2 linked regions of the Sus scrofa genome follow. Each later gene encodes a partner of the first gene's protein in a complex. Links are inferred from orthologs where the notes say so. Each region holds a gene or a part of one and is shown on either strand. Other genes may lie near its edges. The genes, in order: RBM10 and MYSM1.

The links.
Region 2: RBM10 (region 1) and MYSM1 share a complex: the UniProt entries of both Homo sapiens proteins name them as parts of the large chromatin remodeling complex. The link is inferred for Sus scrofa from reciprocal best matches to the Homo sapiens genes RBM10 and MYSM1.

The regions. Positions count from the first base shown.
Region 1 is NC_010461.5:41,772,439-41,776,908, forward strand, and holds the start of RBM10 (RNA-binding protein 10), read left to right. Parts: upstream 1-1,459; 5' UTR 1,460-1,781; coding exon 1,782-1,851; intron 1,852-3,758; coding exon 3,759-3,900; intron 3,901-4,470. Other genes in the region: NDUFB11 (NADH dehydrogenase [ubiquinone] 1 beta subcomplex subunit 11, mitochondrial), read right to left, coding at 803-1,009. UniProt on the Homo sapiens protein: Binds to ssRNA containing the consensus sequence 5'-AGGUAA-3'. May be involved in post-transcriptional processing, most probably in mRNA splicing. Binds to RNA homopolymers, with a preference for poly(G) and poly(U) and little for poly(A).
Region 2 is NC_010448.4:153,754,366-153,758,765, forward strand, and holds the start of MYSM1 (histone H2A deubiquitinase MYSM1), read left to right. Parts: upstream 1-1,374; 5' UTR 1,375-1,831; coding exon 1,832-1,896; intron 1,897-4,400. UniProt on the Homo sapiens protein: Metalloprotease with deubiquitinase activity that plays important regulator roles in hematopoietic stem cell function, blood cell production and immune response.

The sequences.
Region 1 (4,470 bases):
CTCAACCAAAGGTTAGTATTGATGAAGCATCTATCACGTGCCAGGCCTTTTCACAAGCACAAACTGCACAATATCCTGGTAAGGTGGAAAGTGGCAAGAATAATTAACAGCTTCTAATGGTGAGTACTTAATAAGTGCCAATTGCTGTTCTGAGCACTCTGACTCATTTAATTACACGAGGCAGGTGTAATATTTTATTTTTTAGAAAGTGTCCTAATACTTTCCCCATCTTTCAAAGAAACTGAAGCACCAAGGGGTTAAGCTACTCGCCCAAGGTCACATATGTAAGTAACTATCAGGGCCTGTATTCCAACTCAGGCATTCTGATTTCAGTCTCTGCTAACAGGATAGCACAGCAGACCTGATTCTGCCACACATTCAGTTAAGTGAGCTTGGAGGAGTCACTTAACACCTTCATGCTTCAGTTTCCTCATCTGCAGAATGGGTATATTAATAGTACCTACCTCGAAATAGGGCTGTTTTGAGGATTAAATAAGTTAATATTATAAAGTGTTTCGAACACCTGAGCAAGGACCGTATCAGTGTTTAATATTATTGCTGTTATGGTATACTGCTCATTTCAGGTTTGATATCTGTCTGGAAAATAAGGTCAGTCTCGCCTCTGGCCCTGAACCGAAGGTTATCAGGGGACAAAGGAGGAAAAGGAGCTAGAAAGAACTCCCAAATCTTTGAGGATTTTGCCAGCTGCGCAATCCTCAGCCGACTAAGTACGTCCTCTACGGCGCCCCGTCCGCAGGTCCCCGATTGACCCTTGCGGCGTCCCGTTTCCCCTCCCTCTCACCTTCTCATAGAGGTTTTCGTCCTCCGGATCTGGGTCCTCCTGCAAGCGTATAGTCGGTTCCGGCGGCCGCTTTCCCACCAGAGCGGACGGGGCGATCACAGCCCTGGAGGAGCCGGACTCCCAGCGAACACGGGCAGCCGGGAGCCCTCGCGTCGCCGCTGCTGCTAAAAGGCGGCGAGCGCACAAACCTAACACCCCGGCCGCCATGACAGCTCGTTCTGCAGGCTCGCGGGGGCGGGGACGGAAATGTGACTCTGCGCAGCTGCAGTTGGGCCTGAGCGCGAGAATTGTCGCTCCGCCCCCGCCGCACTAAATAGGTCCCGAGTTGGGATTTTGTTTTCAAACGTCCTCTTTCCCTCCCTCTGTCATGGCCTCACGGGAGCAACCAGCTTCCTATCTTCTCGGTCAGGCTGTGGAATTTCTGGCCGAAAAGGCTGCTTATTTTCTTGACGAGAAGAAAACGGTGACACTTGGGTGGATGCAGTCCCCAACCAATCTCGAGGAGAGTTCCCGTGCCCTTTGGCGAGAGGGGCGGAGCTTCCGCTGGTCTTTCATCTTCCTAGGAAGCCGAGCTTCTAAAAAGCGGGCCTCGCCGGATTGGCCAATAGCTACTCTTTTTCTCGACTTGCGGGCGTTCGCACGGGGAGCGGGGTGGTGGCATGCGCTTGCCAATCAGAGCAGGCCAGGGCTGGCCCACGAAGGACGGCGACCAATAGACGGGGCCGGCCAGAGCGCGCTCCCTTAGTAGGTGGATGGTGGTCGAAGCGCCGGCTCCCTTCTCGTCGTCGCCATTTTGTGCTGGTGATCGCGGCCGGCTGGGAGTAGGCGGCAGTGAGTTGCCCGGGGAGGGCAGCGCGCCTGGGCGCTCCTTCCCTCCCCAGTCCTCCGCCCTTCCGCATTCAGCCTCGGACTGGGTCGTTGCGCGGACCGGCTCCGGCTGAGCTGGGAGAGTTGGAGGAGGTGGCGGCGGGCCGAGGTGATGTCCGGGAGCCCTCCCTTGACAGCCCGGGCCGAGAAGGTGAGCGTCGACGCTGGTCGTGGGGGCGGAGGTAAGGGACCGGGGGCGGGGGTGGGGGGGGGAACGCGTAGAGGAGGCGCGAGGGCGAACTGCGGGCGGCAGGTTTGGGTTTTCGTGCAGAACCCCCGATGCTCACACGGTCTGTGCTCGGGAGGGGGTGTCTTTTTTTGTTGTTGTTTTTTGTTTTTCTCCTTTTGAGAGCAGAGGCGCGTGCGCGATTGGGACACAGGATGGGTGCACGCGGGTTGGGGGAAGGGAGGGACGGATGGGAGTGGGTTACTGTGGCTTAGTGTGTCTGCGACGCCGAACTTTATCCGTGGGAGGCGAGTGTCTGCGACTTTGGTTTTTATCTATAGGAAGTGTGCTGTCTGCTCTCCTGTGTGACTTTGGTACTTACCTATCCACGGGGAAGTGTTTGGTGGCTCTGGTCCTTATTCTTGAGTGGGGGAGGAGGGAGAACGTATGACTGGGGTCTCTATCCTCGGATCGTGTGTCCGTAACCCTGGTCCTTATCCATGGGGAGGGGTCCTTATCCCAGAAAGTCTTCTTACAACTGGCCCTAATCCACTTACTGGGTGGGAGGAAGTGCAAGGAACGTGTGTAAGACTTAGTGTCCCTTCTTTGCGGGGGTGGGGGGTGGGGGAAGAGGGTGTTTCGTATCTGTTACTCTGACGCTCATCCTGTGAAAGGGGGCCTCAGTGGATGATTATGGCTTGTATTTACCCTGGATTCCTGTCTGTGATTTTGGCCCCTAGTTATTCGGGGCTTGACTCTGTTGAGTTTGTTCCCTATCTGTTGTGGATACCAGTGTATAACCCTGGCTCCTTTGCCAGATCTAAAGGGTTTTGTGTCCGGCTCTCATCCACTGGAGCCCCTGGTCGTGATTCTAACTCTTAGCCATCCGGGAGCGGGTAGCGCTGGTTCTCTGTGGCTTGAGGAGGAAGAGAAAATCGGTGTGAGTGTATCCGCGGAGGAAAGGTGTAGTGGCAACCTAGTTTGGGGCAGGTGCTGTTACCACCTGGCTTTGCCTGAGTCTTGTTCAGAGGGTGGGGCCTAAAGATTCCGGGATACTTTGTGGTGACCCCTGGCCTGGTCTCAAGGCTCTCAGGCCTTCCTTAGTTCTCACCGGAGCCTGAGGGTTGGGTAAAGTGACTGCCCATACGTCCCGGAGGAATAACACATCGGTTCAGAACAGGCTCCGAAAGGACTCGTTTTGCTTCTGAACAACTCGGGTCCAGAGCTCTGGGGAGGGAGCCCCCTTGGGGGACCTGGCTGTGCATAAGAGACAGGGCTCAGGGCTGAGCCAGTTGCGGTGCGGAGCCAAAACTGTGTTGGCCAGGAGCCTAGGGAGGCGGCAGCTGTGTCATTGCCAAGTTAGCCCCGTCACCCCCTGAGCCTTTCGTGGTCTCCTGCCGTGTCAGAGTGGGCAGCCAGCGTCTTTGGGGGAGGATGAAATATTCCCTGGAGGCTCGCGGATGGTAGCCTGGTGGGTGCCTGGGACCCCTGTTGTGGTGTCTTGCCCCGATGTCTAATGTGCCTGATCTGAGACAAGTCACCCAGCACTGAGAGCCCACTCTCCCCTGCTGCCCGCCCGGGCAGATAGCTCTGGGCTTGAACTTGTCTACCAGTCTCCAATGGCAGAGCCCTGATCACAGACAGCATGGGTGGCGCCACTGGGTCTCTCTGCGAGATGCTCCCCCTCTGCTGAAGGCTATGCTGTGTCTAGGGTGGCGGGCTCTAGCTTCACGTTTGTGGGGAAAGAAAGGAAGGAGCAAGCCAAACAGGGACTGCCTTCCTGCTCTGGTCCCCAGGAGTATTTCGAGTTGGGAAACAACATCGCTGGGCTCAGGGACAGCAGAGAGCCTTGAAAAGGTTTTTTCAAGGAACCCGTCTCTGCCTCAACTGCCTTGACCCCTTTCTTCCTTCTCCTCTCCCTAGAGTCCCTGCAGGAGGCATCGCCCAGGCTGGCAGATCATGGTGGCAGCAGCGGGGGTGGCTGGGAAGTGAAACGGAGCCAGCGGCTGAGGAGGGGCCCCAGCAGCCCCCGCAGGCCGTATCAGGACATGGAGTATGAAAGACGGTGAGTTACCCACTCCTACCCCTTCCAAGCAGCCTAGGCTTGTCCTTGTGTGCGAACTGACCCAGGAAAGCGCTGGGAGGGGGCTTCCGGGCAGGGGGAAGGAAAAAAAAAAACAGCACAGCAGATGATTGGTTTCTTTTCAGCAGATGTTTATTTGGCACTTGTGAGCCAGAACTTGCGCTAGGCTCTGAGAGTGCATTGGTGAATGAGATAGATAAGATTGCAGCCTTTGGAGTTCCTGTTGTGGCTCAGCAGGTTAAGAACCCAACATAGTGTCCATGAGGATGTGGGTTGAATCCCTGGCCTCTCTCAGTGGGTTAAGGATCCAGCGTTGCCAAGCTGCAGTGTAGGTCGCAGATGTGGCTCAGATCTGGGGTGGCTGTGGTGTAGGCCAGCAGCTATAGCTCCCTAGCCTGGGAACCTCCATATGCTGCAGATGTGTGGCCATAAAAACAACAAAAATAGGATTGCAGCCTTCTCCTTACTTAGGGTCTCACAGGGGATATTACACAGTTACAGATGATTACAAAACAGCTTGATTGGTGTCGTGTTTGGTTACAGGGTGGGAAG
Region 2 (4,400 bases), on another chromosome or scaffold:
GGGTTATAGCCACTTCCTTGCAGGTAGGGTTGAGCTATACCCTTAAGGAGCCTCGTTCACATAAAGCCAGCAAACCAGGTGCATAGGCGCATGTGTGGGGAGGATTCATATTAGTCTCCCTGTTTAGGGAGGCCTTTATGCCTAAAGGCCTTGGGGCATATTGGAATTCTGTGCAGGACTTTCCTTCCTTCCATATATATTTTAATGCCTATTGATGCCTAATACTGGGCCAGAAAGACTTCAGTTCTGTATTATAGGAGACACTGTTCATATGGTATTTTGTGTCTAGGAGACATTTGATACCCTGTGTGTCCAGGTAGTACTACAAGGGTTCCTATCCCACTTGTTTTGTAAAGATCAATGAAAGGCATCTATATTCTACAGCTCTGACCATCTGGCCATGTCCATCTTTCTAACCTTGCTATTAATTACATCTAACAAATATCTTAGAAAGCCTACTCTGTGCCAAGCATGCCAATTACCACTGAGACTGGTCACAGGATAGGCCCTTTAGCAACAGGATAACTTAAGGATGGAGCACTATTCAGTTTCTGAGCACTGGATCTCTCTCTTTACAAAACTTTCTCTCCATCTTTGGCCACACAGTTGTATTACAGCTCCTCTTATGGCTTGAGTGCAAGGGTGCATTGGGGCCAACTCAGAATATTGTGGGAAGTGAATTCATTCCATTAATTGATTGATTCACTCATCAGTTCAATATTTATTGAGCACCAACTGTGTCAGACATCATGTTGAATGTTGATACCTTAAGGACTAGTCCAAAGACTAGCAGATACAGCCTTTGTCCTTAATGAATTCATAGTCAGATGGTGGAGGCAGAAAAATGAATTAACAGCTACAATAATGTGAATGATAGATGCTAAGGTAGAAGAATACATAAGGGTAATATTTAATTTCTTAAAAAGCCTTAAGTTCTTTGAGAGAAATGGTGTTTGTCTCTCACAGTTCCTAACAACACAATTTGTACAGGTAAACACTCAGTAAAGTGTCAAAAGGTCTGGATTTTGGTCCCAGTTCTGTCTTTGACTAGCTGTCCATCCTTCTCATTAGTCATCTCAACTTTCTGAGCTTCAGTTTATCTGCAAAGGGTGACTGATGTTATTGGTCCTGCTTATCTCACTGGGTTTTGGCGTTTTCTTTGTTTCTGTTTTTTTGGCCACACCCAGCGGCATGCGTAAATTCCTGCGCTATGGTCAAACTCTTGCCACAAGCTTCTGCAGCGACAACGCCGGGCCCTTAACCTGCTGTACCATAAGGAAACTCCCTCACCAGGTTATTGTGAAGATCAACGGTGATGAGTGATTTTTTAATTAACTGTAAAGATATCTACGAAATAAAATACACAATCCTAAGTTATATTCTAAACTCTTTCCTGAATATTAAAACAGATGTTCAGCATTTTTATAAGTGCTGAATGATTCTATTCTAAAAAATAAAAACCAGCAGATAAGGGTCGCTGTTGCCACTTTCACATTCAAAGTCCGTCTGGCTTGATCTTTTCAGCACTCCAGGTATTTAGTATAAACCCCATTTTACAAATTAGAGAAGCGAGGCGCCAAAGAATTTATCCAAGACCACAACGTCTTCAAAATCCAAGCCTGGGCCACTTGCCAAGGTCTTTACACGTCAACAAAAGTCAGAAGAATCCAGACCCAGGACGCTAATATCTTTTCCCCGAAAGCCCCGCTTCTTGAGCCTGGGAGGGGCCGGTCGACGCCTCAACTCCGCCCCGTGACGCACGCAGCCCCGCCTTCACGCCCTCCACCTCTCGCGGGATCTCTCGAGAGCACGGCTGGGGTCAGGTCCCATCATGGCGGCAGAAGAGGCGGATGTGGATGTCGAAGGGGACGTCATGCCAGCGGCGGCACAGTCTGGGTGAGACATAGAGACCGGGTTTTGCAGAGACGAGGAGGGGCGCGGATGTGAGAAGGGTACCCTAGAAAGGCTGGGGTTCCGGAAGGGTCCAGGGGAGCGAAAGACCATCCGCTGGGGCCGGGGTCTCCCAGAGGCCTGGGCGGCGCCGCGCCCATCCCGCCGCCCGGCTCTTCCAAAGCGCAGCCGGCGAGTACCTGAGACTTGGGGCGGACAGCGTTTTCTCCTTTTGCTTGGATGCTGTGAGGGCGCCGGTCGCCCCTAGCACATTGCGGGCTCTTAAGCAATTACTTCTTCCGTTAGTGTCACCCTAGAATCCGCCCCCTTGCCACCGCCCAATAATCATGAGAACAAGGGCTGTCCCTAGATGGGACCTGAGCGTAGGGATTCTGGTACCATCGCCTGCAAGCCCTGTGACCTTGGGTGTGTCGTTTTATCCCTACTCCCTATCGATTTTCTCTTCCACATAAGGATAGTTGTGAAAAACTTCCAGAGAGGTATCGTGACTTAAAGGAAAGGGCAGGACGTAGAGTTAGACAGCTTTGGGTTCTCTTGTAATGGCTGGTCCTGCGAGATACTAGTAGTGTGACCTTGGGCCAGACTTTTAATTTGTCTGAGCCTCAGACAGTTCGTGAGTAGGCTGACGATCATGTTAGGTACCTCGTATGATTATTGTGAAGAAAAAATGAAGTGATTATGGGATAGGTGCTCTGTAGATGTGTTCTTTACCGGCCCGTTATCCCTAGGGGTGGTATTGTGAGGACTGCGGCGGGGGGGTGTCACAATTTATTTAGTATCTCTACCTGCAGAGCAGGCCAGTGGGGTTTTAAACAATAACCTTCAGCTTGAGACATCTAGCCCTTTGACTCCTTGCTTGCAGGGAATGAAAGCAACCATTTTTAAAATATGCTTTCAGAATCTCCTTTTAGTAATGGAAAAGGCCCAGATGGGTCAGGAATTCTAAGACCTCAGTTCTAAACTCAGCTATGTTGCTTGTACCTATAAAGAACGTTCGAAGTCTCTAGAACCATGTGGATTTGCCAATCTTAGACGGTTTTGACCTATTAAAAAGCAATTTCACGTGGTCGAACCTAGTGATAGGGCCTCTGTAAATTTTGAAGTGTACTGGCCCTGCCCATGAGGAACTAAGATAGTGGGTTTAAAGTTCTTCTGAACCCTAAAGCACTGTGAAAATGAGTAACCAACTTCATGTAGTCATTCTCCCTCAAATCTTTAGGCAAAATAGTCCAAAGCTATACAAATGGATAGGAAGGGTTTACTAACAATCATTGTTCACATTTGTGTAGACCTCGTTAATCTTGCACAAGTGCTTTTGCATGTGTGATTTAATTTGCTTTTCACAAGTCTGTGAAATAAGTGGGAGGGATTCTTATCTGCAGCCCAGAGAGAAATGAATTGGCCTTGGAAACACCAAAGATCAGCTGAGAGCATTGGCTCTATCTATCCGTTTTCCATAGGTTCTTTATTTTTCTGATTGTATTTTATTTTTATCCCTTTTTCTCTCTCTCTTTTTTTTTTTATTATTTTGCTTGAGCCTCAGTTTTATTGGTGGCACCTGTGATCATCTTAGTCTCATGTAACCAGTAATAGGGTTATTGGTTCCTGATGGTTAGAGCCATTGCCTTACAGAACTTCAGGGAGCATCAGTAACATATCCTGGTGAAAATTGCTCCCTGGTGTTAGGGCTCCAATCACATAGAATTTCTTGTGAATAAACACTTGAATTGTGTAGTTACAGCTGATAGCATTTGTGGAAGCCTTGAGGATTAATTAAAAACATGTTTAGGTCTCGCTAAGTGCTAGTTACCAAAGTTAGAAGATGGCGTTGCAATGGTTTGATTTCCTTTCTACCTATCCTGCCTCTCTTTCTCATTCTTGTTTTCTTCTGCTTGTTCTTTAAATCTTAATGTTTTGAAATTCCCTCTGTGGCATAGTGGGTTAAGGATCTGGTGATGCTGCAGCTGTGGCTCAAATTTGACCCCTGGCCTGGGAACTTCCATATGCCACAAATGCAGGGAAACACACACAAACAAAAAAACCTTTAATGTTCCAAGGGATTTTTGTCATAAGACTTTTCACTAACCACACAGTCTGTCTCTCAGGATTTAAATTTATTTGTTAGGTTGGACAGTATGAAATTTTGCCAATGTCCCACCATTTTTGACCTACAAAAATGATGTTTCCCAAATTTGTCACCAACTCAAATCTCTCTCCTGAGTTTCAGGTCCATTTATACAATTTTCTGAATCTCTCTGCCCTTGGGTGTTCTGCAGTCTCAGCTTATAAACTTTCTTCATCCAACCTGCCTCTCCAAGTTCTCTAAGTTCAGTCCACCCAGTCACACAAGGCATAGACGTAGACTTTATTCCTTTTCCTTACTTCTCGCATTCTATTCAGTCATTTATTAAGAGTTTATCGATTTTGAATATCCTCTCATATGTGTTCATTCTTCCTATTCACACTGCTTGTTCTTCAAATCTAAGTTA